7 linked regions of the Mus musculus genome follow. The protein of the gene in region 1 interacts with the protein of each later gene in a pairwise test. Links are inferred from orthologs where the notes say so. Each region holds a gene or a part of one and is shown in the gene's direction. Other genes may lie near its edges.

Region 1 (3,500 bases):
TTATAAGACCATCCCTAGGGAGGTTGAGATGGGGGGTTCTGGAGGCTCACTGGTCAACCAATCTAAACTGATTTGGGGACTCCAGGCCAGTGAGAGACTCTGGGCAGTGTTCCTGAGAAAGATACCTGAAGTTGACCTCTGGCTTCAACATGTACATAAGCACACATAAATCCCCACCCCAGGCACCCGTGCACACATACACATGCACACATGCACAAACACACAAAGAGACACTGGGGGGGGTGTGTGGGAGAAGCTGCTTTCCTGCCACCTGGCACTTTTGAAGATTCTGTAGTGACTCGTGTGTGTGAATGTGTAACCCAGAAACCAAATATAGATGCCGGGAGACTGACTAACGTGATGGCCCCAGGTGTCTGCTTCCTGCTTTTCTCGTGATTGACAGCGTACGGAGGATCTTATCTGTTGTACCCTCTCCCTCCCTCAGCTGGATTAGTTTTAAAGGAAACCCCAGACATAATTGATCTATACATATTTAGCATGTATCTCGGAGAGATAAAGGCTGCTTTTGTTGTTTTAGTGTGACCACAATGCCTCACTCACAATGTTATAAGCAGCCTTGGGTAAGGCTAATTCAGAAAAGCTGTTGGCGTGCAGCTGACTTTGCAAGGCAGTGGAGTGGGGGGTGGGGGAGGGGACTGGAGGTAGGGAAAAACAAAAACTGGTTCTGCCAGTGACCTGTTCCTGGGACTTGGGACTCACCTGATCCCCTGAAGGGAGGAGAAGGATCTGAAACTTAGGGCATCCGTCCTCCTTACTCTGATTGTTCCTGGGGGCACAGTGGGGAGAGTAGGGCCTATTTATAGCCCTAAGTCTAGACATGGAAAGGAGGCAAAAGGAAGGGAATATTCAAGAGGGCCAGGGAGAGGGAAAGAGGAGTATGAGGGAAAGAGAAGTAGAGAGTGGGAAGCGGGCCTACCTCTGTGGACTGTTAAGTGCAGGCTCTTCCCCACTCTGAGTGAACTGTACACCTGCCTGTTTACGTGCAGACCTGTGTGCACCATGGAATGTGCGCGTATGTGTGCATTCGTGTACGTGTGCGCGCGCGCGCGTGTGTGTGTGTGTGTGTGTGTGTGTGTTCAGAAGCAAAGAGCACTATCAGGAAAGTAAGGGAACCCCACGCACACTGTTTTGGGTATTTCTTGTGCCTTCTTAGCGGTGGCCAGTAGACTGTCAAACAGACCATGTCTGAGTTTAGCCGCGATGAAGCTGCAGCCTCCAAGCCCCATGGCGTCCCTTTCATTTTTTTTTCCTGTCTGCCTCTTAACTATCTTTCCTCTTTGTGTGTCTTGAGTGTCAGCTAAGCAGGTTTCCAGAATGTTCCAGGCATAGGCAACTAGATCCTCCCCTCCCTGGAACCCTTGAGTATGCATAGCTGATGCTTCTAAGCTGGGGCATTGTGGTTCCCTTGGGAATGCAGTGGGGGGAGGGGGTCCCTCACCAGGGTTGCTGGGGGTAGTGGTGATGACAGGCTCACCACCTTCTCCCTCACTGGAGGAGAACCAATAACCAGGAGCTGGGAGTTCATTGGCCCATCAAGGGCCATCAGATTGTTAGTCTTGACCCATGATGGAGATGAGGGACAGGGACACAGGGAGAGAGCCTTGTGAACTGGTTCAGGGTCTGGGCAAGTGGTACTGTCACCCACAACTAAAACAAAAACAAGAGGCCATGCCGGCAAGGGTCTATGCAGATATCCAGATGGTCGCCCTGTGGAATCTAGGATTCGGGGTCTGGTCAGACTGTGAGCCTGAGCCACACAGACACACTAGTGGACAGGTGTCTGACCCTTGTGGTAGAGTGTCTGCACTGTTCAAACCCCCCTCGGTGGTATTCCCGGGCATCACACAAGGTTATCAGAGTAGAGGACCCAAGATGCTGAACAACTTGCTCAGGGTCGCAGAGATGAGAAGTGAGAGAGTCAGATGAGAGCCCCGCTGGACACTTGGCCGACCTGCAATAGGGAGGCTGTGCTGTGTTCCTGGGGACTCCTTCAGGCTCCACATCTCATTCTGTGAAATGATTACTCACAGCCCAGCCCTTTGCTGCTGGGCAAATTTCCCCAGTGAGCTCCCTCTCTGTTGTTTGTTCCTGAGAAAGGACAGATATTCTCATCACAATGGCCTAGTGGGTGATGCTGCTGGCAGAGTCGTCCAATGTTGACTACTGTGTCTCTGATCCTTTTGCAGAGCTTTGGAACTGAGCGGTGGCAAGGATGAGATCTCCCTGCTGGTGGAGCAAGAGTTCTTGAGCCTCACTAAAGAACATCTCATCTTGGTCCAAGAGGGCTCTGGGGAGCTGGCAACACCCATTGTTACTCCCCAGGGGACCAGGGAGCTGGCTCCCTGCTTTCTTGTGCCTCCTCTTGGGGCAGACAGCGCCGAGTATGCAGGATCCTCCGTAATGGCTGGTGACGAGATTCAGGAGCAGAAGCTGTCCATGCCCATCATTGGTAGCAGGCAGGACTCGGATTCTGCCATGTCTACAGTCACCGGCATCCTGCGCTCGGCCAAGGTCAAGAGTGTCAAGGGGACTAAGGACAAAGGCCATAGCCTGGGTGCCTCTAATTCAGAGATCAGCAAGCTCCTGGCCCAGTTCCCACTGAAGGCAACTGAAATGTCCAAGGCCCCAGACAACAAGATGGTGCTGGAAGAAACCAAGGTCATTAAGGACTTCCTGCAGAATAGCATGTTCAATGGCTCCGGACCCCGGGAGCCCATGGGGCTGGGTCCGTTCCTGCTGCTGCCACCCCCACCTCCTCCTGCACTCCCTGACAAGCTCCCTGAGTCCTCTCCTCCCAAGAGGCAGCTCCCGGTGTTTGCCAAGATCTGCTCCAAGACTGAGGCTGACGCTGCTCTTGAGGGCCACCACTGGATTGGTGAGTGGGGTTGAGAACAGGAAAGTGAGGGGGGTTTTCAAGGGAGAGAGTCTTGATCAGGAAGCTGAATCGAGGCCATGGTGTGTCTTTGTGCTAAGCAAAACAATGCAGGCTCTCTGGTTGTGTGTGTCTAAGTGGTGTATGAATGTGTACATGTTCATGTGTGGATAGATACACCCATGTATATGTCTGGAGGCCAGATGTAATGTCAGGTGACTTCCTCTGTGGCTCTCCATCTTCTTCATATGTGTGTATATGTGTGTGTGTGTGTGTATACACATACACACACACACATACACACACACACACATATACACATACATACATTACAGATGGTTGTGAGCTGCCATGTGTGTGGTTGACTCAGGATCTCTAAAAGAGCAGCCAAGAGCTCTTAACAGCTGAGCCATCTCTTTAGCCCCACCCCCATCCTATTTCTTGAGATAGGGTCTTCTACTCACTGAACATGCAGCCCACCAATTCAGCCAGTGTGACTGGATCGTGAACTCTGGCAGTGCTGACCCTGCCTCCCCAGCACCAGGATCACACACACGTGCTACCACAGCCAGCTTTGTATATACATGTGGGAAATTCAAACTCATGT
Region 2 (3,500 bases), on another chromosome or scaffold:
GTCTTCAGGGTCAGCTGCCTTTGAGCTCCTCCCCCATCCCGTCACAAGATGGCAGCCAGTAGCGGTGGGTGGGTATGTCTCTGTTCACAATCTCTTGGAAAAAAAGATGGAGGCTGGTTTTGTGGATTCAGCTTGTGATTGTGTGCTACTTTGAAAAAGAGAGATGAAGAGATCCAATCACAGCCTCCAACTCCCACCAGGCTGTCTTCTCCGTCCCAACGTGAAGTTTAGGTTTAAGTAGAGGACTAGACATATGCATAGCTTTCCTGGTCAAGGGGTTGTCTCAGCCGGCACTGACCAGTCTCAGGGTGGTCTGATTCGCTGTCAGACCGTGGAGATTCTCTTTCCAGAGTAGTTCCCCTTCTGGCTCTACCAGGCATCGGCCTGTCCTTTCCAGAATGAGATCCCTGGGAAAATCTCAATTCCGCATGGTGTCTTGTTTCACAGTCTGATGGCCAAAGGGAGGGACTCCAAGTCATTTTGGAATCTCTTTATCCTGCCAGGCCTTCTACACTGCAACACTTCCTCCTGGCTAGGCATTGAAGTTTGCCAGGCCGATGGGGAAAACTGCGAACTCTGCATCTGAGTTTTGTCTTCTGAGTTGAGAAGGAACTGACTATCTTCTTTAATTTTTTATATCTAATTTACATTTAAATTTACAGATTGATTGATGATTGATCGTGTATGTGCACACACACACCCTGACATGCATGCCAAGGTCAGAGGACAACCTGAGGGAGTTGGATTTCTCTTGCCTCCCTCTGTGTCTTAGAGATCATACTACTGACTTCAGGCTTTGCCGCAGGCCCTGTTGCCTACTGAACCCTCTTCCTGACCCAAACTGGGTATTTTAAGAGTTTGTTCTTGTTTGTTTTATGGCTCTGTGTGTGTGTGTGTGTGTGTGTGTGTGTGTGTGTGTGTGTGTGTGAGAGAGAGAGAGAGAGAGAGAGAGTGTGTGTGTGTGTGTGTGAGACGTCATTGCTGCCATCTGTTAATGGTCTTCCTCATTTGTCATTAGTCTTTTGACACTCCTTCACCTATACAGATATCCTTTGTTTTTAAAGTTATGCCTATTATTACTGTGGAGGGACACACTTGTGCTGTGGTGCACATGTTGGGGGTTAGAGAACAACTCCTCGGAGTCAGTTTTCCTCTGGCGTGTGGGTGCTAGGAATTGCCATTACCTGTTACTAAACCTCACTGGCCCAGGGCGGTTTTTAGTTTTTGTTTTCATTTTAGCTGTATGAGTGTTTTGTTGTGTGTGTGTGTGTGTGTGTGTGTGTGTTTTAAGTGCACCATGTGCATGCAGTGGCTGTGGAGGAGAGAAGAGGGGGTCAGATCCCCTGAAACTGGAGTTCCAGGTGGTCGTAAACTGCCACCCAGAACAACACCTGGGGCCTCTGAGAAGCAGGAAGGATTGGGTCATCTATTTTATGGAATTAAATCTCTCAGTGTTTTTCTTGAAGGCCCAAGGTTTTCTGCCTTGAACTAGCTACTCATCTGATAACAGTGAGGGATGACTAGACTTGTGAGTCTGTGGAACATATCAGCGTTGGGCCGAGGCAGCTGGACTCCAGGTCTTTAGGACACTTGGATGTGTCGTGAGAAGGCTCAAGTCCGTAGCGGAGTCAAGCCTTAGTATTTCTGGAGCTGCCCTGAGCCTGTTGGGACTCAGGAGGTGGGAGGAAGGGTGGGTGGTATAGACCCGTGGAGAAGGCTTTGATAAATATCAGGTAGTGTGAGGTCACACGGCTTTGGGTTGTTCCTCAGCTCCCTCAGGAGAGGGGAGAGGGGAGAAGGGGAGAAGGGAAGAGTGGGGAGGGAAGAGGGGAGAGGGGAGGGGTTGAAAAGAGCCAGATGAACCGTTCTTTTCCTGACTCTTGATCCTGACCCTGTCTGCTCTCTCTCCTGCAGCTGGAGAGATGGCGTTCGTGAAGAGTGGATGGTTACTTCGGCAGAGTGAGTAGAGACATCTGAGAACCCTAAAACAGATCATGTCTGCCAATGGTCACGTCTGGTTACTACTGTTGCCGTGCATCTCCTCTGGGAATCTTTAGGGCTCTGTGACGGTCCTCAAGAAACCATGGAGCTAATAGAAACCATGGAGCTAATAGGAACCAGGAAGCAGGGAGGGCTCTGCCCCCCCCCCCCGCCCCCGTGCTTTATTACTAACGGGGTATTTATTGAGGTGGCTGGGTCTGAGCACGCTTGGCTTCCTGGTCTTTGGCCTGTGTGTGTAGGAAATGGCATGTCCTATCTGGAGCCCGAGAAGGGTCAGTGGGGAGACCTGCCTTGGTGGGTGCACGAGTTTAGCAAATCTTTGTCTCCAGAGAAAACTCAGTTCTTGAGCATGACTCCCGGACATGGCTACCGTGAACTGGCTGTTCGTTTCCTAGGCTGCCACTGGAATAATGAGCTGGTGAGCAGGGAGAGCCGGCTACTTCTTCCCCACCGGGAGCTATGCTGTGCTCCGCTCCCTAGGTCTGTGGGTAGTCTTAGCCTAGAGTGATAAGAATGGCCTTACCTGGTGTCTCGGAAGGTAGCCCCAGACGCCAGGGCCACCTTCTCTTGAGTTTTATGTGGATAGGGTTGATGAGGCATCTTGCTCAGACCCAAGGACAAGTCCCTTGCCAGTCCTTTGGCTGGCTTCTGGTTTTTCCTCAAGCACTGTCATGGTCTTGGAAGGTGAGATTTTTTTTTGAAGTTATTATTTGTCAGTATTGTTTTCCTATCTGTGATGGAGTGTTGCAAGGCCTGATCTTGTGTGGGCCTTGTGCGGGTGTCCACAGCTGGGGAGCTCCTGAGTACAGTGGCAAGATTGTATCCAGATGGCAGGGCTCTTCTCCCTTTGGCTTTCACATGTGTTCCCCTCTCTCTTCCTCTGTGCTCCCTTGGAGGGGTACAGGCCCTGACTGTTTATACTGCCAGCTCGGTGGATTGCTTCCATTGATTCTAGGCTGGTAGATGGTTTCTTCTGTGCCTGCTGCGCACGGGCAACAGCCTTTGTCATTGTAACCCAAAGCCAACTCTCTCTGTGTGTCCCCCAGGCACCATTCTGAAACGCTGGAAGAAGAATTGGTTCGACCTGTGGTCAGACGGTCACCTGATCTACTACGATGATCAGACTCGGCAGAGCATAGAGGATAAGGTCCACATGCCCGTGGACTGCATCAATATCCGCACGGGGCATGAGTGCCGGGGTAAGCTGTGCCCAGGACCACCACCCCACCTTCCTTAATGAGTCTGCTCCCACTGTCCAACTGGACACTGTCCAGACAGGGCAGCCACAGTGGGGCTTGGGCGTTCAGATCCTGAACATCACGATAAATAGATCTTGCGCCCTTCCCCACACTGGAGTTAGGTCCCGGGCTGTTTCCCGTGCAGTGATGTACAGTCTTGCTCTTCACTCCTGGGTTGTTAGGTCTAAGAATGCATAAGGAGGAAAAACCAAAACCAAAACAGACAAAAAGTCAACCCACAGATTACTCCTCCATTCTGCC
Region 3 (4,175 bases), on another chromosome or scaffold:
ACAGACCAAACGCCTGGGTTAGGGGTGGGCTTGAGCCAAGAAAGAAACTTGATGGCCCCTTCCAGCACACATGACCCTCTCTAGGTCACGTTTGTGGTCACAACTACTCGGTCCTCTTCTGAGGACTTCAAAAGGCTTAATTGCCTGTGCCTCTTTAGAGCTGTCCAGGAAGGGGTAGCAGGCTAGTGGCACAGAGAACACCACTTGGCCTGAGCCAACCAGACTTTGAAGAGAAGGCCTTTGCCTACTGATACTTCTAAGGCTCTCTATCCTGGGATCTAAGCAGCAAATCCCACCATAGCCAGTAACGCAGGCACAGTGAAAGCTTACTGTGGGTTGTAGCTCACAGAGTAGCTGGTTTCAGGGCCAGGATTCCAAACACCTTGAAAGATTGAGAGACAATGGTGAACATGAGGAGATATTTCTAAAAATGAGCCCTGCAGCTGGATATGGACTGGAGATTCAGTTCTGTGCTTCCTATCTGTATAAATCAAAGAATAACAATCTTACTGAGCCCAAATTCCTTCAACTACAAAATACAGGCAGAAATAGAACCTCACTCGTGGGTTTTGTAAAACTGCTTTATTTCTTCCACTAGATGTGGTTAAAAAAATCAAAATAGTATTTTATATACTCAAGCATTTCCCTACTTCCATTAAAACCTCTGGAAAATGTTGGGCTAGACAAATGGCTAAGTGGTTAAGAGCACTGACTGCTCTCCCAGAAGACCAGTACCCACATGGTGGCTCTTAACCATCTGTAACTCCAGTCCAAGGGATCTGACCCTCTCTCTGGCTGCCTTGGGTACCAGGCATGCCAGGATTGCATAGACATCCATGCAGGCAAAACATCTATATACGTAAGATAGAACTTGATAAATTTGGAAAATATAGGGACACAGGTACTCTCTGTGAACTTCGCTGGATCTCAGCTTGATCATACAATCTGTAATGATCTGAATTGATCCACTTTCATTGTCTTCCTAACAAGAATGCTACTAGAAGTCAGGGATGCTTCACTCTGTAAATATTGAGTTAGGTAGAGTGAGTGTCCCCTAGCTTTGCAAATAGAGGCTGGTATACACAAGAGACTCGTTGGAAGACTCGCTGGACACACAAAATGTGTGTGTGTGTGTGTGTGTGTGTGTGTGTGTGTGTGTGTGTGTGTGTGTGTGTGTGTGTGTGTGTGTGTGTGTGTGTGTGTCGGTGTGTGTGCTTGTGTCTCTGTGCATGTATGTAAGCTCTAGGTGTGCTTGCAGGTGGCTGGCGCGAGTCGCAAAGCCTCTGTGTTTGCCCTCATGGTCAGCAGATGGCGCTGCAGGCCTGGCCTACAAAAGACGCTCCAGTCCCGGAACCCGGAAGCGTCGGCCGGAGGGGGCGGGCCTAGGGCGCCTAGAGTCTTGCGAGTTGGGAAGGGTTAGTGTCCCTCACCTCGACTTGCATCCTCTTCCCGCCCCTTCGTCCCGCGCTGGCACGCCAGGACCTTTTCCCTAAGTAGAACTGAGGAATGCCCAGAGTGGGGGACTCGGCGAGCGCCCAAGTGACAGAGAGCCCCCAGGGCATCCTGGGTTTGTAGGGACTATGGGCATGCTCAGGGCAGGGCTGTGCCCGGGCCTCACCGAGGAGACCGTCCAGCTTCTCAGAGGCCGAAAGATAAAAACAGGTGACCTCATGGGCACTACCCCGGGGGTCGGCACCGTGGTCGTGGTACACATACGGGGCCTTTTGCTCTAACAGGATGGCCGCACTCTTCCTCTGACTTTCTGAGGAAGCTGGGTTCGCAGGAGCCGAGGCAGAGGATTTTACTGAGTGCTGGGCCCTTTGCGGGGTCGGTCCTGCATCAGGGCCTGCGTGCTCGAGATAGGTAGTAGAATAAGACCTTAATCCCGTTTGACAACAGAGCAAAAGGCAAATGTGGCAAGGCTAAGCCATTCCTGCTGCCAATCACCTGCACCTGCTCTCTTTCCAGTGGCAGACCTGGCAGCTGCTGACTTGGAGGAAGTAGCCCAGAAGTGTGGCTTGTCCTACAAGGTGAGCTCGCGATCTGCAAGCTCCATTCCAACCCCTCTTCCAGCTGCGCCCCCACGCTGCAGGATCAGAGTTCCTTGGGATAGATGGGGGGGGGGGGGGGCGCTGCTCTGAGGGGGCAATCTGGCGGGCCTGGAGCCTGAGTGTCCGCCCTATTGGCAGGCCCTCGTTGCCCTGAGGAGGGTGTTGCTGGCGCAGTTCTCGGCTTTCCCCTTAAATGGCGCAGATCTCTATGAGGAACTGAAGACTTCCACGGCCATCCTGTCCACCGGCATCGGAAGGTTTGTATGCGAACCTGGACAAGGTGAAAGCAGAGACTGAGGCTTCAGAGGACGGGGCTGGTGAGGGCAGTCCAGAGCGGTAGAGGAACTGCAGGCGTGTGGACTCCTGAGTGTTTTTCCCTAGAGTAAAACTGTAGGGTTTCTTAGCCTCAACACAATTGATGGGGGGGGGGGGGGGGGAGGCAAGTCGTTATTTCCTGAGATAGAGATATCCTGTGCGTTGAGAGTCGTTTAACAGCATCCCTGGTCCTTCTCTACCCACCAGATGCCAAGATGCCCCCAGTTTTAATAATCAAAAAATGACTCAGTATCTCCAACAAGCTAACTTTTCCCAGTGAAGAGCCACTGTCCTATAACATAAGATGTCGTTAATACCCCCATTGTTTAGTAGAGTCCACCATACGTCAAAATAAAGCAAGTAGCAAGTGAGACCCGGGGAAGGATTGGGGTCCCGGGAGTCTGCACTTTTGCGCTGACATAGGCCAGTGGTTTTCAACCTTCCCAGTGCTGTGACCCTATAATACAATTCCTCCTGTTGTGATGACCCCCCCCAACCATAAAATTACTGCTTTGCTACTTCATAACTGTAATTTTGCTACTGTTGTAAATCATAGTGTAAATCTCTAAAAGCAATATAGTCGGATCTGCCACCCCTGTGAAAGGGTTGTGCAGTCGTCGGAGGGCTTGTGTTGTGACCCCTGGTTGAGAACTGCTGCCCGAGGTTATGGATGTTAGAAGTTATTGACCTCCCTTGTGGTTAGCCTAAGAAAGGGGCCAGCAGAGGTGAGCCCGGGGTTATCTGATCCAGAACCTGTTGTCTCTGCCATCTGAGGCAGCAGAGGGGAACGGGCATACTCCAAAAAGAGCAGTTACATTGTGCCCTGTTGTTCGGGTTGGGAAAGAATTGGAAGACAGCTAGCATTTTCTGGCCAAGCGAGTCTGACCTCTCTCCCGGCCTATTTGTGCGGAGCTTGATGAATAACACGGCCATCACAGAGGTCTTTGGATCGGTCTGGCCCTTGCTGTTTCCATAACACATTCTCTTGGCAAGGTCCGCACAGTCTGGTGCTTGCTCTCGCTGGTTGGGGGTCTGTGTTTGTAATCCATCAAACATTGGCTGAGTGCCTACTGGGTGCCAGACACATGCAGATGCTCTCTGGAGGAGTGGGGCTCAGGATTTTAACTTAATTCCAGCTGACTGTTCCGAGGTATACTTGGAGGTGAGAGGCCACTGTGAAAGCATTTGTAGGCTATGGGGCATAGCTGTGCAGGACAGACGGGCCAGCCAGCCAGGAGAGGCCAAACAGGGATCTTGTGTTGCTGGTTTGGGTTGTGTAAGTCTGAACCAGGGTTTGTGACCACGGAAGACATGTTGAAGGAGAGATGTGAGAAGAGAGACTTACTGTGAGATCAGGTGTAAATTTGAAGAGTCAAAGGTGGTGGTTTGCTGGGCTGAAGAGTTGGCCTAGTGGTTAAGAGCACTGACTGCCCTTCCAGAGGTCCTGAGTTCAATTCCCAGCAACCACATGGTGGCTCACAACCATCTGTAATGAGATCTGATGCCCTCTTCTGGTGTGTCTGAAGACAGCAACAGTGTACTCATATACCTACGTAAAAATCTTAAGGAAAAAAAGATGGTTTTAGATTTCCCTCCAGTGTGCTGTGCCTACCTAGTGGATGTAACTTTGAAACCGGGAAGGTAAGGCTATAGGCAAGGTTAGTGAAACTTGTGATTAGCATGCATTAAACCTGTTAAACAGGGTCCTTTGCTGTGGGCCTTCTTGGCGTGCTGAGGTGCAGCGTAAATCTTTGCAGGGCAGACACCGCTGTAGATGGAGGGATCAGTTATGCCTTGCAAGCCAGAGCT
Region 4 (4,170 bases), on another chromosome or scaffold:
GGGGTGTGGGGAACCAAAAGAAACAATACAAAACAAAACAAGAGTTGGAAGCCAGCCTGGGTTGCAGTCAGACAGAGGGAGCTCAAAAGTGAAACCTCTGGCTGTAAAAATCTGGGAACTTCAATTTGACCCCTGGAACTCACCTAAGGGAAATGAAAATACTTGTGAAAAGTTGCTCTCTGGCTTCTTCAAGGTTAGAAGTCACTTGCACCTTTCTCTGGCAATAGTAAGGAACTTTAAAAATAAATAAAACCACCCAAGGAGCAGGGTGAGAGGTCTCAGCAGAACTTGCTGCACAGGCCTTTCAACCTTGAGTTTGATCAGGACCCCACATGGTGGAAGGAGAGAACACTCAGGATTGTCCTCTGACTTCAGTTGAAAGTGTGGTGATAACTCGCACGAACTTAACAATTTTAATGCCCCACTCCCTGGGCAAACAAACAAACAAACATCAGAGGTGGGGGATGTAATTTGCCAACTACAAGGCTCTGGGTTTAGTGCTCACGAATACTTATCTAACTTTTGTAGCATCTGTTTTCTATCATTTGACTTCTATTTTTCTTCTTGGACAGGTTTTCCTCTCAAAGTTTTCTTTCCTTTTTCTGGAGTTAGTCTGGTGTGTTGTTTTATAAACGTTTCCTTCATCACTGTAGTTCACTTATAACCAGAGATTATTCTGAACGGCCTTGTAATTTCTCCAGTGTTTATATAGACAGCAGCTCGCGACCATGCATTGTAGCCTCGGCCGCCTCCATGCAGAAATGGAGTTCGTAGGAACCAGCTCGTGTTCCTACGCCCGCCTAGGCGGCTCTGGAAGCTTCAAAAATAATCTTCACTTTAGCTTGTATCTCGACATCTCGCAGAGAATCCTCCCAAATTATTACACATCAAGAAAATCTGTCCCAGCGTTCACATAGTGCTGAGAGTTAGAAACTTCAGACAAATCCCTCCGGACTGCCTGAGATGCCCTTAGGCGGTCTTTCTTTTACATAAGACACCATTCTAGTTTTCCGCACGCATGCGGTCATTGATTCCTTTGGGATCACTTTTCGGGATGCGGAGACACGCGTGCAGAATTCAGCGTCCACCGACTCACCAGCCCACAGGTCTCTTTATGGACAACCCCCTCCACCTTGCTGTCTCCCCCCCCCCCCTCGTTTGCCCGCCCCCTCCCCCTGCTACCCCCCCCCCGCAATGTTTGCGCCTGCGCCGTCACTGTCCTCTCCGGGACTCAGAGGCGGGTCCACAGCTCTCTAGTCCCGCCCCTCTCCCTCCCCCGGCCAATCCTAGGCTCCGTTCTGGGCTCGTCAGAATGGCGCCGCGGCTGCCCTGTGCCCGGATGTCCGCTGCCTGAGGCTCCGCCCCATCACCGTCTTGCATCCTTCCGGCTCCGTCGTGGAAGGAGGACTGCGCCTCGTCTTCCTGAAGGTGGGGTTCGGGGAAGGCCAGCCCGCGGTCACGCCGGCTGTGGGAAGGGAAAGTGGGCTCCCCGGGCTACTGTTTCCGGGTGCTCGGGGCGTGGGCCGAGCGGGGAGCGGACCGGGGATCAGGAGGGCTTCCGGAGGCGCCGCTGGCGCTCGGCAGGCGGGAGTTGAGGAGCAGGCCGGCCGCGCGGTTGACTCGCCCCGCTGAGGCCGTCCCGCGAGCGCGCCTGTGGGGGTTTCCATGGTGACAGTAAACAAGCCTCAACTGCCTCAGCTACAACTGCCAAGTCCCCGGGGTTCCACCCTCCTCTAGGTGCTCTGAGGGCCGGCGAGGTCCGGATGTGAGTGGGAGCGTGGAGCCGAGAAGCCGGAGGTGAGGGCCGCCGGCGGGGTGTGCTGGCGCCTGGGCCCGGCGGGCGTTGGATGGCGGGCGTGGGATCCGGACTCGGAAGGAACGGGGCCGAGGTGGCCGCCGCACAGCCATAGCCGTGCGGAGGCTGCCCACGGAGCTGGGGACCGCGTGGCCGGGGTTTGGGGTCGGGAGCCGAAGTTCAGCGCATTTTCGACGGGGATTGGGCCGCGTGGCCGAGGTGTGCGGTCGGGGGAGCGGGGACTGAGGGCTGGAGTCCGGTCGGTAGGGCCGGGCCTCTGGGCTGAGGTGTGCGGAGGGCCTGGGAGACCGCAGCCGCGGCCCACGCCCGCCCGGAGAAAGCGCGGCTTTCCTCAGAGCCGCCCCCCCACCCCGCCCGCAGGCGCGGCTTCCTCGGCGGGATATTGGGGGGGGGGGTGAGGGTGGAGCGCTTCTCACCCACCGCGGCTTACGCTCTGTCAGCGGCCCCCCGGCAGGCCCGGGCGGTGGTTGTAGTTTGGAGAAAGACGAGCGGGCGCTCACGTGGCCCGAGGCGCCCGGAGTTTCACAAGACTGGGCGGGACGGCTCCGCCCACCGCCCACGCCCGGCCCGAGCGAAGCCGAGCGCCTCGCTTCCTCCTCGTGGCGGCCCGGGAGCTAGGAGCACCGGTCTGCGCCGGTCCCGTCCCCCAGAGGTATCGTGTTAGCGTGTGGGGTGCGGAGTCTTTGCCTAGGTGGGTTAGTCGGCCTTAGCCGCAGTTACGAGCACTTTTGTGCTGTGTTTGTGGAGCCTCACGTGTCTGGGAAAAGTTGAGGTGGGCCCGCTCGGCCTTCCCTCGGCGCGTGCTCTCCGGAGCCTTCCCGACCCGGCGGGATCGGAGAGGCAGCCCCATGTGCCCTAAGACTCCCACCCAGCGACCTTTTCTGCCCCTGCCAGTCCGGGAACAAACAAATGGGCCTCTTTCCTACCTGCAAGTCGGGCTGCGGAGTAAGCGGGCGAGCGAGCGCGGGTGGCCGCCATGTGGCTGTGCGGGATCGGTCTCCTGAACCTGGGCAGTTTTGTTTACGGAACTTTTGGGCTTATTTTAGTCGGTTTCCTTTAATGTTTATTTGTGCGTGGAGGTGAGGGGATAAGGTGAAGAAATGGATTTTTCCAGCACTGGGTCCTTGGGATTGAATTGAGGGTCCCTGTCACAATGATCTATCGCTCTGTCCAGGGGGTGGTTTAAATATTTAATTCTTCTAGTTGAACAAGACAGACGATATCTGGAAATAGTTAATACTTAAGTCTTTCTTCCCTTCGTGCTGCGGAGTGGAGGTCAAAACGTGGTTCAGTTCTTCCATCTGTGTATTCAGACTGAGCGCAGGTAGCTAAGGTCTGGCAAAAAGTGCGTTAGCCCATTGAACAATGTCGAAGTACTTTTGAGTACGCCGGGTGGCTATGCATGCTTTTGCGCTCAGCGCTCGGAGGTAGATCTCAGTTGAGAACAGTCTTACAGACCAAATCCTGACTTAAATTTTGAACTTTCTGCTTTTCTTATCTCCCTCGTGTTGCCATTAGTCTTACCAGCCTTTTTTTTTTTTTTTAAGTTACAAATCATTATGTAGCCACAGAGGATGACCTTGAATTCCAGATCACTCAGCTCCACCTCTAGATTGGAGTACTAACTCGACCACACCCCATTAGTAGTTACTGGGCATGGCAGGCTTTAGGCACGCTTTGTCAGCCCCATTCTGTCTGTATTATGCCCGTTTTTGTAGTAATTTTTAAAAAAGATTCATGGTTTGATTTGAAGGAAGGCCTGGGCACACTGGATCTAAAAGTAAATGCAAAAGTGATTACTTGTTTCTTGAGGTAGGGTCTAACTATTATATTACGCCTTGGCGCAAAATTACTGTATATTTAGATAAGGCTGGCTTCAAACTCAAGCAACACACCTACTTTTGCTTCCATAGTGCTGTGAATTGCTGGCATTAAAGGCATGTATCACGAAGCACAGCTAATACAAGGGGGTGTGTGTGTGTGTAACAGCTTTCTTTTGTTTTTCGAGACACGGTTTCTCTGTATAGCCCTGGCTGTGGCTGTCCTGGAACTCACTTTCTAGATCAGGCTGGCCTGGAAGTCAGAAATCCGCCCACCTCTGCCTCCCAATTGCTGGGATTAAAGGTGTACACTACCACGCCTGGCTGTATTTTGTACTTTTGAGATGTTTGGTTTTGTTTGGGGGGGGGGTTATTTTGTTCTTTTTGGATTTTCAAGACAGGGTTCTCTTTGTAGCCCTGGCTGTCCTGGAACTCTGAAATGTTTGTTTTATATGTGATTATATTTAAGACTTTAGTAAATGCCGAAATAAAACTACTGACCATTTGCTTACCAAAAAAATTTCAGTTCTCTGT
Region 5 (4,146 bases), on another chromosome or scaffold:
CACTCTTGAGTCCAGTAAGACATGTCCATTGTGTGAGAGCACATGCGATCAATACAACGCCTTGGCATGCAGTCTTCTGCTTGAGTTGAGAATCTTAGCCCTCTCCCTGAAACTCAGTCCCATGGGCATTCATTGGAATGGCCAATAATTGCAGCAAAGAGAAATGCTTAAGTGTGGTAGGAAGCCACTGCTAGGCAGTTCCCTGCACCCTGGGTCATAGAAACCCAAGCAGGCATAGAAGAGCCTGCTGTTCTACATAAGCTTAATCACACCCAGCAGAGCTCCTGCCCCACCCCCACTGCAGCATCAGAGTCAGTCAGTTGCCTAGCCAAAGCTAGAAGCAGGCCTTTATTCTTATTTCACCGTGACATCCAACAACCAAGACTACTCCAAGATCTAGGCCACTTGAGGAAAGGGGTGGAAAAGAATCCTGATCCCTTTATTCAATACATTGTCTAGAACCACCTTTGACTATACACAGAGCTTCTCCCAGTGCAACATCATATCAATTAGTCCACTCATCAAAGAAACAAACCAGTAAAATGAGCTGGTTCCTATCCATCCACTTTCCCATTTGAAAACTGGAAGCCTCGTAGCTGGTAGGTAAGACCAGCTGATCCAATTCAGTTTCCTGGGATTATTAGGTTTTCGTCTTTGTTTTTCATAAGGAGTTGTAGGAGGAGGTCAGGAGTGACCACCATTAACTTTCTGACAAGGTCTGGGATGGGGAAGGGGGTGCCCTCTAATTTGCTTGGTTTTGAGTGTCTATTTTTTTTTACATTAGTCTTTTTGATGATCCACATGTTACAAAAGGCAACATGTAAAAAACCACACCCCTCAAATTGCTTTGTTTCAGAATGCTTTTGCGCCCTTGACCGATGCCAAGACTAGGAGCCATGCTGATGATGTGGGTCTCGTTCTTTCTTCATTGCAGGCTAGTATATACCGAGGGGGATACAACCGTTTTGCTCCATATTAAATGATAAAACCATTAAACAAACAAACAAATAAACAAACAAACGAACAAAAAAAACCCAACCTTCCAATGTGGGGAGAGAGGAAGCTTTCCGAGGCCTGAGTGTTGCATCACATGCAGTAGGACATCATGTTAGCAACTCAAAGAAACAACTAAAAAGAAAAAAAAATTAAAAAAAGAGGAAAAATTACATTTTTTATCTTATACCTCAGATATTTTGTTCTGTGTATTTTAATATTGTGGGTCTTTGGTTTCTGAAGGTTTTTGTAGTTCAGTTGGCTGTAGGAGTTTTTGTGGTTGATCTAGAGAGAGGCTAGATATGAATAAAAACTGATTTAGGGCCATATCCAGAGTGCTATATTATGTAAATGAATTCTATATGCCGAACATGAAGCTACTGGGGTTAAGCTGTTTGGGAAGACTGGAAACGGCAAGTCATTCTTTCTGCATCCACATTATTTTATTCTGTGAAAGGGGAGGCTGGGGCGGGCTTAGGGGTTTGGCTGAAAGGAAAAAAAGAAAATATATATATATATATATATATACATATATATAGTAACTGATGAATCTAAATGACCCACTGCACCAACTATCATAAATCTATGGTTCTAAGTTACTCCTGGCAAAGTCAAGCCAAAGGCTGTGTTAAGAATCCGCTTCTCATAGCACGGAGATTGCAGTTGAAGGAAGGAAGCTGTGTCGGCCAGTCCACCCTCTTATCATTCCACCTGCAGTACTCAGCTTCTTACCTACCCACTAGTTATTTAAGCAAAGGCTACTAGTTAGGCCATCAGTAAGCATTCTTTTTATATTTCTTCCAGTATGAGAAATTATTGATATCACTGCTGACTTTTATATTACGGGAGGGAAAAATTAACATTAATAAAAAGGTGATTAAAAAAAGCACTGTTTCTATTTTTTTCTTTTTTTCCAAAAAAGAAAGTAATAAAAACTTAAATTCTTTGTACCAGTTAAAAATATGTATAAAATTTACATCTGTGCAGTGGAGTTATGTTCTAGAACAGTCTCTGAGGCTTTAGTTTAGCTTAGTAGATTAACTGTTAGAGACAGACGTATAATTTTTATGGAATTACATGATAATCATATCTGGATTTATAGTCGCATTTTACAAGTATCGCAATCATTGAATAGAGATAATCATGGTATTTTCATCAGCTTGATACTTTTTGAAAACATGACTGCGCTGTGAGCAACTTGCAATTTTTCAGTCTGTGAGAGCCCGCCCTTCCCTCTCCCCAGTGCCCCAGGGTTATCATAAACTGGTATCTTTATTTCTATCACCAAGGCCCAACAATTGTCAGAAGGAAGCAAACACAAGACAAAAAACAAGAACTAGAACTATCCCCTCCACCCCCAAAGAACAAGATCTGCCCCATCCTTTTTCGGAGCAGGGCCAGAGCAACACAGCCGAAAAATTGCAACTTGTGATTTTCTTCTGTTTGAATCCCCCCCATGTTGTCCTGTTTACAAGTTAACCTAAGTTGGGGTATCTGTCATGGGTCTTCCTGTTTTGTATTTAAATTCTAAAATATCAGCAAGCTGTTCCCTGAGTAGTGTTGCTGCCTGTGTGTGCGGTGCCGGCCCCGCGGCACGCACTTTAGTAAGTTATCAACTCACGCTGTGAACCTGCCAACCTGCTGTAACAACTCTGCTTTAAAATCAAAACCAAACGAAACTTTAAAAAGAAAAAAAAAAGTGTGTGTGATCCAGCTTTTCCTCGTCATCCTACGTGCATGCCCGTAAGATCGGTTGGATATTAAACCATCAATAAAGTTTCATGAGATTTGAAAACAAAGTTTTTGTAGCTTCGATATCTAAGACAGGTGATCATGGTTTGGGAGAGAAAGAAAAGCAAAGGGCGAGGAGGGGAAGGGAGAGAAACTGCTGAACTGGTGAGAAGAGAAACTGTTCTTCTTTCACCAGACCCCTTTCTTTGAGTAGGGAGAGACAGGTCCAGAGGGAACCATTTGACAACATCACGTTCCCACTTCCCTGGCCTGCTACAGCGTGCACCTGGTTGATGTTATCCAAGGCAACAATTTATCATGATGCTGTAGCATTCAACCCCAGATGGGGTCAAGATAGTAATAGAAAAGGGGGCTGCAAAAAGATCAACAGACTCCTCCCAGTCGCCCCAGATTTTCAAGCCCAGAACCTGCATTGTGTATGAAATCACAAACATGGAATTCTTACTGTGCTGGCTAAAGTAAAACTCATTTGCGGTTTTGATTTCCATCAATGAACTGTACTTTCCCCTACGATCGTATGTAGTTTTAATAAAAATCATTTAGAGCAAGTGGGTGCCAATCGGTGTCGCAGAACCTTTTGTCTAGGCACTCCACTGAGCTGCCGATAAGTCGTTTTAAACTGTCATGTCAGAGGTGTAAACAAACATTTTGGATTTTTTAAAACAACAGTATTTATTTGGAATGTTTTCATTTATCTAAATAACTATTGCTATTATGAATTATGGAAAAAAAGATTAATGTGGCATATAGTGACTTCTTAACACACATCACTCAATCTGCAAACCCAGAAAATGTGTATATCTGTCTTTAGAAATTAGTGTTTATATCACTTACAGTGGTTTGTGAATAAAGAAAACTGGTTTGTAATATCAAAAAAATAAAAGCTTAGTCTGAAAAGGTACCTGTAAGTTGGTGTTCTGAGTTCTTCTGCCTCTGTGGATTTCTTTATGGGGTCTATTTTACACACGTGTGTGCGTGCACACACACACACACACACACACACTGCACAATCATTTCTATAACATGTGTCTTAGGTAGGGTTTCTATTACTGTGGAGAGACATCATGACTACAACAACTCTTATAAAAGAAACTATTTCCTTGAAGCTGGCTTACAGTTTTGGAGGTTCAATCCATTTTCATTATGGTAGGAAACAGCAGCAAGATACCAGACAAGGTGCTGGAGAAGGAGCTGAGAGTTCTACATTTTGATCCACAGGCCTCAGAAAGAGACTGTCACACTAGGCCTAGCTTGAGCATATGAGACCTCAAAGCCCACCTCCAACAAGGCCACACCTAACCAAATAAGGCCTAATAGTTCCCTGTGGGCCAAGCATTCAAACACAAGAGTCTATGAACGCCATTCCTGTTCAAACCACCACAATGTTGCTTGCAGCAACAC
Region 6 (4,102 bases), on another chromosome or scaffold:
CTGCGATTCTCAGTACATGTGTGCACCTATCGACAAAGTCTTGATTCTGAATTCAGAACATGGTTAAACTGGCCTGGCTTGACTTTTGCTGCCTAAAAGATAAAAGATCGAAGATCAAAAGGATGGAGAACTTCAGAATTCCTGGCTGGCTTCAGGAATTACTTTTACTAATGGTGGTAAGATCTGACTTTTCGATTAGACTGGAAAGGTCGGCACTCGGGAAAGTTGGCCTGCTTACCTAACCTCTGTACGGACAGTGTCTTCACCTCCAGACCTGAGGCAGACCTGAGGATCAGATTAAGGAAATGGGTGAAAGGGTTCCTGAGTAAGAAAGACCTCAATATAAAGAGATTAGGATTTCTTCATTTATATGTCAAGTTAAAAGGAACATAAATACCCCCTCTACCCTCCACTATTACTATGGATGATATCTATGAGTTTTCAAAGCCTCCACCACACCCCACACGCCCCACATTCACAGATCTTCAAACTGCATGGTTCACTGTTATCTAGCACTGACTTTTTGTTTTTGTTTTGTTTTGTTTTGTTTTTGTTTTTGTTTTTTTTTTTTTTTTGAGACAGGGTTTCTCTGTGTAGCCCTGGCTGTCCCGGAACTCACTCTGTAGACCAGGCTGGCCTCGAAATCAGAAATCTGCCTGCCTCTGCCTCCCAAGTGCTGGGATTGGGATTAAAGGCGTGCTCACCACCGCCCCGCTAGCACTGACTTTTAACCTATGGAGTAACTTGCAGGGTGGCAGGTCAGGTCTAGTGCCTAAATCTGAGTCAGAATTACGCGCGTGACACAGACGTTGGATTTGCACTTCATGGAAGGCAGGGCCAACTTCTCTCCACTTCCCTTGAAACTTGTACACGAGTCGAAAATCAGTTGCACACCCCTTCACAAAGACTTCGTCTTTCCTTCTCCTTGAAACTGTCCACAGTGAAAGCAAAACTCCCATCCTTAGAATCTTCCAGAAACTCAGAGCTGGAGGGTAATTAACTTGCTCACAGATAGTGAGGGCAGAGTTGGGTCTGGAGCCTCCTTCTAACATCCATTGCACGTTTTTCTACGGGGGGGGGGCGGATTATACATAATAATAGTATCACTAACAACAGTGGCTAACGCTATATGCCGATATTCTATCAGCTTCCATTTAACTAGATGGGGGGGGTAGTTTTGGGTCCTTCTTTTAATTAAAGTAGCCTACTGTGAAACAGTATTTTTTTTTTCAGTTGCATGACATTGCAACCCGAAATCACAACTTTAGGTTCCTTGTGGTGCCCGCTTCCTCTTCTAGTTTGTTTAGTCACAGAATTCGATTCCTGTTGGCTGTTTCCGCGCTGCAAACAGGCTTAGCGCTCCATTGAAATGCGGGAGGCTCCTTAATTCTTGTATAAACAGGTAACCCGAGGGGTGGGGCGGGGGCCGCGGCCCTAGGGTGGGTTTCCTGGGAGTGGGGATGGGGGTCAGACTTAGTTCCCCTGTGATCAGAGGCAAGGTTAAAGGAGGGCTTGGCTGAGGTTTCTCCTTGCACTGTTTTTGTTCCCTTTCTAGAAACCAGCTGTAACACTAGGTCAGAGCGCATTCAGAATGAGCCACTTTGAACGAGCAGCGGCGCCCAGGCCCCAGGCCCTGCTGTGAAGGCTCCGGCAAAGGTCAGAGCTCCGGCCCCCCGTGACGTGCCTGCCTGTGCTCTCCGAGCTATGCTCAGCCTCAGGTAAGAACAGCCCAGGAGGTCCTGGCTTCCTGCAGGCCCGCGGCGGGGCTCGTCTGCCGCCCTACCTGCTCCAGCGCCTTCCTGCCCCGCAAGGCCGGGGGCGGTGGCACTGCTCACCCCGGGAGTCAGGCGCAGGGTCCTTAGTCCTTGGTGCAGGCTCAGGGTGGCTTACTCTAAACAGCCATAGGCGGCCGGAAGCCACTCTTCTAGATGTCCCCAGGTGGGGCAGGTGCCACTTCTGGGGTCCCTTCTGAATGTCTGAAATGGATGTGACTTTTTGAGCGGCCAAAGTTCGTAAATCCTCCGCATCGGGGCCAGTCCGATATGATTTTTTTTTTTTTTTAAACCTTCAGCTAAGGTATCCGCGCTTCTAAAACAACAGGAATGTTGCACTGGCCTTCGGCCAGCGGAGGCTCAGCGAGCAGGATAAAATTTCAGTGCAGATTTACGGGAAGTTGCCGGTGTTGGGAGTAAAAATCTGGTTTGGTGAGTTTAAGGGAAGGGAGTATACGAGACAACCTTGCTACTGTGAGGCGAATGGCCTCGTCTGGGGGAGGGCAGGAGGCGGAGGGAGGGAACCGGGAAGAGCAGGGATTGCAGAGGCACCGATTGCAGCCGGACTCCGCCGCGCTCCGCGGGATCCGACCCTGTGCCGCTCCGCCCGGGCCACAGCCGCACCGCAGCCGGCTCGTACGACCCAGCCCAGCCGGCCGCCGAGCGCCCGGACCCGGAGAAGCCAGGCTCTGGGCCGGGAAGACGTTTCTTACCGCAGGTCACTCAGGCTAAGAAATTGTGACAAACTGGAATTCCCAGAACCCGGGAAGAGTTAAAGCCTAGAGCGATCTGATCTGTTGCTTTAAGCCGCACGGTGGGAAGTAGTTTGGAGACTCTTTAATTTAGTTTTCTATTTAAAAGTGTGCGGCCAGCGAAGATGTTGTAGGTGACTTCCTAGCCTTGTAGATTGCTACCGGGCTGTGAATGGTATTAATTTCTGAAGTGAGCGACGCCAAGTACTTACGGAAGGTAAGGTGGACTTTTGGCAGTTCTGACTACTGTCCCCATAGAGTCCTGACTTTTGGGAAAAAACAAACAAACAACATCTTTCTCTCTCTATTTCTTTCCCCCTTAGTATTAATCTCTCATTTGATCGTCTTCCTTCTTTAGTGGGAAGTTAAAGGGTTTATAAAAAGATTTTTTTTTTTAAAGCTTCAGCTTTTGGAGAGCAGATAATCCTATGGTCAGCCGCATCTTGTTTCCTGCAGACTTGAGTCTTTTTCCGTGTGTGTGTGTGTGTGTGTGTGTGTGTGTGTGTGTATAGTTGAAAAAAACGTAATTGGTCTTTTTTGAGGCACAGGTGACTAGATGCGGATTATTAGCTTGAGATTTCGGAGTTTTTGGTGACGGGCGTCTCGCTTGAGTGTTAACTGGAGCAGAGCGGGGGGGGGGGGGGGGGGGGGGGCTTCCTGCAGACATTTATCTCTGAAGGCCACCCTCGGGGAAGCTTAGTTGTTGTTTCCAGCGGAGAATTCAATCTGGAGACAAGAGTAGAGTCTACCAAATATAACATCTGATATGCCTGCAGTCACTGGGTGGCTAAGAAATCAGTCAAAATGAATGGAAATGGAAAATTTCAGATAAAGGACTCTCTGTTTTAATTAGGTAAAAGTTGACAACACTCTAAGACTGTCCTAAGGCACTTAGGGATGTGGCTTCCTTATTAAGTCTTATCAAACTGATGAAAAGATATTCTCTAGGTACTTACAAGCTATTTTTGACTTGCTTTTATTTTCTCCATTACTTATGGGAGCTAAAAGTCGAACTTTTCTCCCCTCCGGTTTGTGTGATAGTGACTCACTTAGGAGTTTCCTTAGGAGGACTGCAAATCAAAACTGTTCTTCAAGCTGCTGAGGTGGCTGGCCACCAAACTTGAGGACCTGAGTTCTAGCCTTCCCTCACCGTGGTGGAAGGAGAAAACAATCCTCTAAGTCGTCCATGGACTTAATTAATTAATTAATCAATCAGTTAATTAAAAACTCAGGCTTAGGTCAGGCAAGGTGGAACGTGCCTTTTAATCTACAAGTAAAAGGCCAAAGCAGGGGATTGGAGGGTCCAGGGCAACTGGAAAGCTGGGTTTGGTGGCTCATACCTTTAACTCCAGTCCTTGAAAGGTAGGATAGGAGGAACCAAAGGGAGGGGAGGAGGAGTTCAAGGCCAGCCTGGTCCACAAGGCAAGTTCCAGGCCAGCAAAGGGCTGCACACTGAGACTTTGCCAAAACAAAAAACAAACAAACACACAAGATAGATAGATAGTAACTGAATGGTAAGTGAGAGTCTTACTGTGGAGTCAGACTAAGGAACACAAAGGGTGGAACAACCTGCAGGGG
Region 7 (4,258 bases), on another chromosome or scaffold:
AATGAGATGGCTCACCAGTTAAGAGCACTGGCTTCTTGCTCCTCCAAAGGACCTGGGTTTAATTCCCAGCACCCACATGGCAGCTCAGTTCTAGATTCGGCACCCTCACACAGACATGCATGCAGGCAAAACAGCAATGCACATAAAAAATAAAAAGGAGTCAGGCAGTAGTGGGGCACGCCTTTAATACTATGCACTTGGGAGGCAAAGGCAGGCAGGTGAAGAACAGTCTGGCCTACATAGGGAGTTCTAGGACAGCCAGAATTACATACTAAGACCCTATCTTGAAAAACGTAGAAAAATCTAAAAGAGAATTATTACAATATGTGGCTATTTGATTGTCTATATGTGCACCATGTTGGTATAGGTCAGAAGAGGGTGTTGGATCTCTGAAGCTGGAGTTACTGATGGCTAAACTGTCACATGGTTGCTGATATTGAATCCTAAATCTTCTACAAAAGCATTGATCCATCTTTCAGGTTCTATAAATAAATAAATAAATAAATAAATAAATAAATAAATAAGTAAATAAATTAAAGGAGACCATCTTGGTAGCCCATTCCTTTAATCCCAGCACGAATGGCAGAGGAGGCAGGTGGATTTTGAGTTCAAACAGATCAAATAAGTTTCAGGCCAGCCAAGGCTACACAGAGAGACCCTGCCGCAGAAACATAAAAACAAACAAAAGTCGGGCGGTGGTGGCCTTTAATCCCAGCATTTGGGAGGCAGAGGCAGGCGGATTTTTGAGTTCGAGGCCAGCCTGGTCTACAGAGTGAGTTCCAGGACAGCCGGGGATACACAGAGAAACCCTGTCTCGAAAAAACCAAAACCAGCCAACCAAACAAAAATGTTAGAAGGCACCGCGCTTTACCACTCAGAAGCCGTTCCTTTAACCCAGCAGTCGAATGAATGAACTAAGCTCCGAGTTTCACAGTAAGAGCTTGCTTATTAGCATTTCCGCGGTCCGTGAATGACTAAAATGTTCCAGTTATAGGAGTTTCCAGTCCTGCCTCCCTTCCTCCCGGAGGCGCTAAAGATCCAAGATGGGCCCGCGCCAGCCTGTCTCCAGCCTCTCCGCTGGGGTCAGTTAAACCTCCTCCTCTTTCCCGCCCGCCCGCCGGTTTTGAAAAACCAAAATTCCTGCTGTGGCGGGCAGCTCCACTGGTCGCTGCACGCTGACCAATCAGGAGCCACGCCACTGCTACGGGAGAGACAAACCTCCCCAGCAACGCGTGCTGATTGGCTGTTATTCCCAGCAGGCGGGACTAATGGAGGTCGGGCTCTGGGCAAAGTGGCTCTCGCTACTCTGTTGCGAGTTTGTAAGAAAACAAGGGCGCTCTGGGCGGGGCCTGGGGCGGGCTTGCCTCGCCCACTAGCGGCTGACTCTGGCGGCCAGTACAGTGCCGGCTCAGAGCAGACCCCGCCCGCGCAAGGAAAGGAGGGAGGGTGAGTCTGGGGAGACCCGGCCCAAGGGGCGGGCGCCGAAGGGCTGGGCGGGGTTCCCCGCTGCCTCTCTCGGTGACAGGGGGAGGAGCTAGCTGCGAGCGCTGGGGTCGTACGGGCGGAGGGCGCAGGCTCTGAGGCCGGCAAATGATCATAGAGTTGGCCCTGGTGGCACCGCAGTCCCTAGAGTTCTGATCCAGCTCTTGCTGGTTCCCCAGCCCTGACCTTAACTGGGCTTGGGGCTGGGTGGGTTTCACAGTCCACCGGTATCCACTATGCTTCTGGAAGAAGTCTGCGTCGGCGACCGGTTGAGTGGCGCAGCGGCCCGTGGCGACGTGCAAGAGGTCCGCCGCCTTCTTCACCGGGAGCTGGTGCATCCTGACGCCCTGAACCGCTTTGGCAAGACGGCCTTGCAGGTGAGGCCTGGCTGGCACCCGGCCCCCACACCCCATCCCTACAAGTCTCCTGACCCGGGTTGGTGATCCCTTAAGGTTTAGTCCTTGCTTGCTCTGATGTTGGGTGGGTGGTGAGGATGCGATGGGGGAGGGGATGGCTTTTCAGCTCTTGTCTAATAGCCTGACAGATTCAGTTTCCCTGCAGACCTTTATTCTGTGGGTTCATCTTCTTTTCGTGCCAGTCCTTGAGGACAGCTCATATTTCTTGAGGCTCCTTAAAGATATTCGATCTCTGGAAGATGGCATGCATGTCTTCTCCAAGGGAGATAGCCTTTTTTTTTTTTTTTTTTGAGGTGCCCTCTTGAAGGATCTCTGGTTATTTCAGGGACATCTTCATTTCGGCAGGTGATGTAGATTTTTTCCCCTTTTGTATCTTCTGCGTGCCTAGTAACAAAAACGATTCCTTATTGCTTGAAGGTCCCGTAATTTGGGTGGCATTTATAGGAGAGTCCCACCTTTTCATGGGTACTCATACATTCTGAAGATCATGCCTATGTCTAAGGAAGTTATTTCTCGACAAAGGGGATCCAAATTGTCTAGAGCATCTCTTTCTCAAAAATTCTATGTAGTTCCCAGATTGTAGTGTTGAAGGGGCTTTACAGCCCTAATGATATGGGACTGCTCTGGCCTCAAAGAGGCTTTAGACGCCTTCCTGGTTCTCTCTCTCTCTCTCTCTCTTCAAGACAGGGTTTTTCAGTGTAGCCCTGGCTGTCCTGAAACTCACTCTGTAGACCAGGCTGGCCTTGAACACAGAAATCTGCCTGCCTCTGCCTCCCGAGTGCTGGGATTAAAGGCGTGCGCCACCACTGCCTGGCCCGGTTCCCTTTCTCATCCATTCTCTTTACTTCTCTTGCTTCTTCATTTTCTTTTTTTATTTCTGAGACAAAGTCTCACTTTGCATCTCAGACTGGCCTTGAACTTGAGACTGTCCTCCTGCCTGAGCCTCTGAGGTCCTGGGATTATGAAAGCGTCACTATGCCTGGCTTTTTAATGTTTTCATGAGAGTCACTTTTATAGTTAGGGCTTTTTGTTGTTGTGTTGTTGTTCTTAAGAGAACTTTGGGCTACACAGTAGTGACACAAATTAATCCAGCACTTAATCTTTAATCCCAGCACTTGGGAGGCAGATGCAGGTGGATCTCTGAGAATTTGAGACCAACCTGGTCTACAGAGAGAATTCCAGGACATCCAGAAAGACATCCTGTCTCCGACAAGGATGGGGGTGGGGCTTAGAAGGTGTGTGTGTGGGGGTGTCCTTATTTTCAAAGAACCTGTTCTCTGGGGTCCCAGTCTGATCCCTTGGGTCCTGACTTTCCTGGGGGCGTCCCCATTCCCTAAGGATCCCTTCTCTGTGCTCTGGATTTGTGGTAGACCTCTTTATTCTACCTGACCCTTCTCCAATGGGAACCTCCTGACTTTCTCCTCCCCACCCCCATAGGTCATGATGTTTGGAAGTCCAGCAGTTGCTTTGGAGCTCCTGAAGCAAGGTGCCAGCCCCAATGTCCAAGATGCCTCCGGTACTAGTCCTGTGCATGATGCGGCTCGCACCGGGTTCCTGGACACCCTGAAGGTTCTGGTGGAGCATGGTGCTGATGTCAATGCCCTGGACAGCACTGGGTCGCTCCCCATCCATCTGGCGATAAGAGAGGGCCATAGCTCCGTGGTCAGCTTCCTAGCTCCTGAATCTGATCTCCACCACAGGGACGCTTCCGGTCTCACTCCCCTGGAGTTGGCTCGGCAGAGAGGGGCTCAGAACCTCATGGACATTCTGCAGGGGCACATGATGATCCCAATGTGACCCAAGGCCACTGTCTCCAGCCTTACTGGGTTACTTGTCAACAAAAGAGGAAAGAAACTTTCTCTTTTCACACCTGTCCATTGAAGAAGGGAGTGGGAGGAGCAGTTTGTGGTTTATTGGTGTTGATTTCTTGAGTGTGTGTGTTTGGGGGGTGTTTCTCATTTGTTTTTCTCACCCCTTTTGGTGTGTTGGACAAAGAAGGGGCTCCTACAGGCAACAGCCATCTAAACGGTTCAGTTTCCTCTGCACTGGGGCTGCACCAGGGCAGGGGTTTAAAGCCCTAGCCTCAGAGTGAGGTCATCACTTCCCGGGCCCCTTGGAAGCTGGTGACCTTGGCAGGCTGTGCTCAGAGAGCCCTGAAGTGTGAGCCATCTACTTTGGGCATGTGAGGGGGAAGGGAAAGCATTTCAAATCAATTAAAAGGATAACATGAGTTCATTTTTCTTTCTTGGAAGGTTTCCAGTCTGTTGTACAGAGTTTGAAATATAAATATTTATTGCTTTATGGAAAGAAATTGTTTTGTGTGATTATTTTATGTTTTGGCCCATTAAACTAAGACAGCG

What was found.
Region 2: the proteins of CK137956 (region 1) and Plekhb2 interact in binary tests that used the Homo sapiens proteins (3 or more experiments, as listed by UniProt). The two-hybrid records come from large-scale screens. The link is inferred for Mus musculus from reciprocal best matches to the Homo sapiens genes C1orf94 and PLEKHB2.
Region 3: the proteins of CK137956 (region 1) and Rad51d interact in binary tests that used the Homo sapiens proteins (3 or more experiments, as listed by UniProt). The two-hybrid records come from large-scale screens. The link is inferred for Mus musculus from reciprocal best matches to the Homo sapiens genes C1orf94 and RAD51D.
Region 4: the proteins of CK137956 (region 1) and Hnrnpf interact in binary tests that used the Homo sapiens proteins (3 or more experiments, as listed by UniProt). The two-hybrid records come from large-scale screens. The link is inferred for Mus musculus from reciprocal best matches to the Homo sapiens genes C1orf94 and HNRNPF.
Region 5: the proteins of CK137956 (region 1) and Rbfox1 interact in binary tests that used the Homo sapiens proteins (3 or more experiments, as listed by UniProt). The link is inferred for Mus musculus from reciprocal best matches to the Homo sapiens genes C1orf94 and RBFOX1.
Region 6: the proteins of CK137956 (region 1) and Rbm47 interact in binary tests that used the Homo sapiens proteins (3 or more experiments, as listed by UniProt). The two-hybrid records come from large-scale screens. The link is inferred for Mus musculus from reciprocal best matches to the Homo sapiens genes C1orf94 and RBM47.
Region 7: the proteins of CK137956 (region 1) and Cdkn2d interact in binary tests that used the Homo sapiens proteins (3 or more experiments, as listed by UniProt). The two-hybrid records come from large-scale screens. The link is inferred for Mus musculus from reciprocal best matches to the Homo sapiens genes C1orf94 and CDKN2D.

What each region holds. Positions count from the first base shown.
Region 1 is NC_000070.6:127,950,342-127,953,841, reverse strand, and holds part of CK137956 (uncharacterized protein C1orf94 homolog), read left to right. Parts: intron 1-2,207; coding exon 2,208-2,896; intron 2,897-3,500.
Region 2 is NC_000067.6:34,859,959-34,863,458, forward strand, and holds part of Plekhb2 (pleckstrin homology domain-containing family B member 2), read left to right. Parts: intron 1-1,914; 5' UTR 1,915-1,922; coding exon 1,923-1,959; intron 1,960-3,047; coding exon 3,048-3,200; intron 3,201-3,500. UniProt on the Homo sapiens protein: Involved in retrograde transport of recycling endosomes.
Region 3 is NC_000077.6:82,887,825-82,891,999, reverse strand, and holds the start of Rad51d (DNA repair protein RAD51 homolog 4), read left to right. Parts: upstream 1-1,375; 5' UTR 1,376-1,580; coding exon 1,581-1,662; intron 1,663-1,968; coding exon 1,969-2,030; intron 2,031-2,189; coding exon 2,190-2,308; exon of another isoform or gene 2,309-2,331; intron 2,332-4,175. UniProt on the Homo sapiens protein: Involved in the homologous recombination repair (HRR) pathway of double-stranded DNA breaks arising during DNA replication or induced by DNA-damaging agents. Bind to single-stranded DNA (ssDNA) and has DNA-dependent ATPase activity.
Region 4 is NC_000072.6:117,905,412-117,909,581, forward strand, and holds the start of Hnrnpf (heterogeneous nuclear ribonucleoprotein F), read left to right. Parts: upstream 1-1,370; 5' UTR 1,371-1,428; exon of another isoform or gene 1,429-1,698; coding exon of another isoform or gene 1,699-2,430; exon of another isoform or gene 2,431-2,507; intron 2,508-2,692; coding exon of another isoform or gene 2,693-2,794; intron 2,795-4,170. Other genes in the region: uncharacterized protein 4933440N22Rik, read right to left, coding at 1,699-2,430, 2,693-2,794.
Region 5 is NC_000082.6:7,408,835-7,412,980, forward strand, and holds the end of Rbfox1 (RNA binding protein fox-1 homolog 1), read left to right. Parts: exon of another isoform or gene 1-856; coding exon 857-979; 3' UTR 980-3,646; downstream 3,647-4,146. UniProt on the Homo sapiens protein: RNA-binding protein that regulates alternative splicing events by binding to 5'-UGCAUGU-3' elements. Regulates alternative splicing of tissue-specific exons and of differentially spliced exons during erythropoiesis.
Region 6 is NC_000071.6:66,149,155-66,153,256, reverse strand, and holds the start of Rbm47 (RNA-binding protein 47), read left to right. Parts: upstream 1-1,302; 5' UTR 1,303-1,402; exon of another isoform or gene 1,403-1,555; 5' UTR 1,556-1,718; intron 1,719-1,783; exon of another isoform or gene 1,784-2,253; intron 2,254-2,278; exon of another isoform or gene 2,279-2,741; intron 2,742-4,102. UniProt on the Homo sapiens protein: Single-stranded RNA-binding protein that functions in a variety of RNA processes, including alternative splicing, RNA stabilization, and RNA editing. Functions as an enzyme-substrate adapter for the cytidine deaminase APOBEC1.
Region 7 is NC_000075.6:21,288,410-21,292,667, reverse strand, and holds Cdkn2d (cyclin-dependent kinase 4 inhibitor D), read left to right. Parts: upstream 1-1,458; 5' UTR 1,459-1,718; coding exon 1,719-1,859; intron 1,860-3,335; coding exon 3,336-3,695; 3' UTR 3,696-4,205; downstream 4,206-4,258. UniProt on the Homo sapiens protein: Interacts strongly with CDK4 and CDK6 and inhibits them.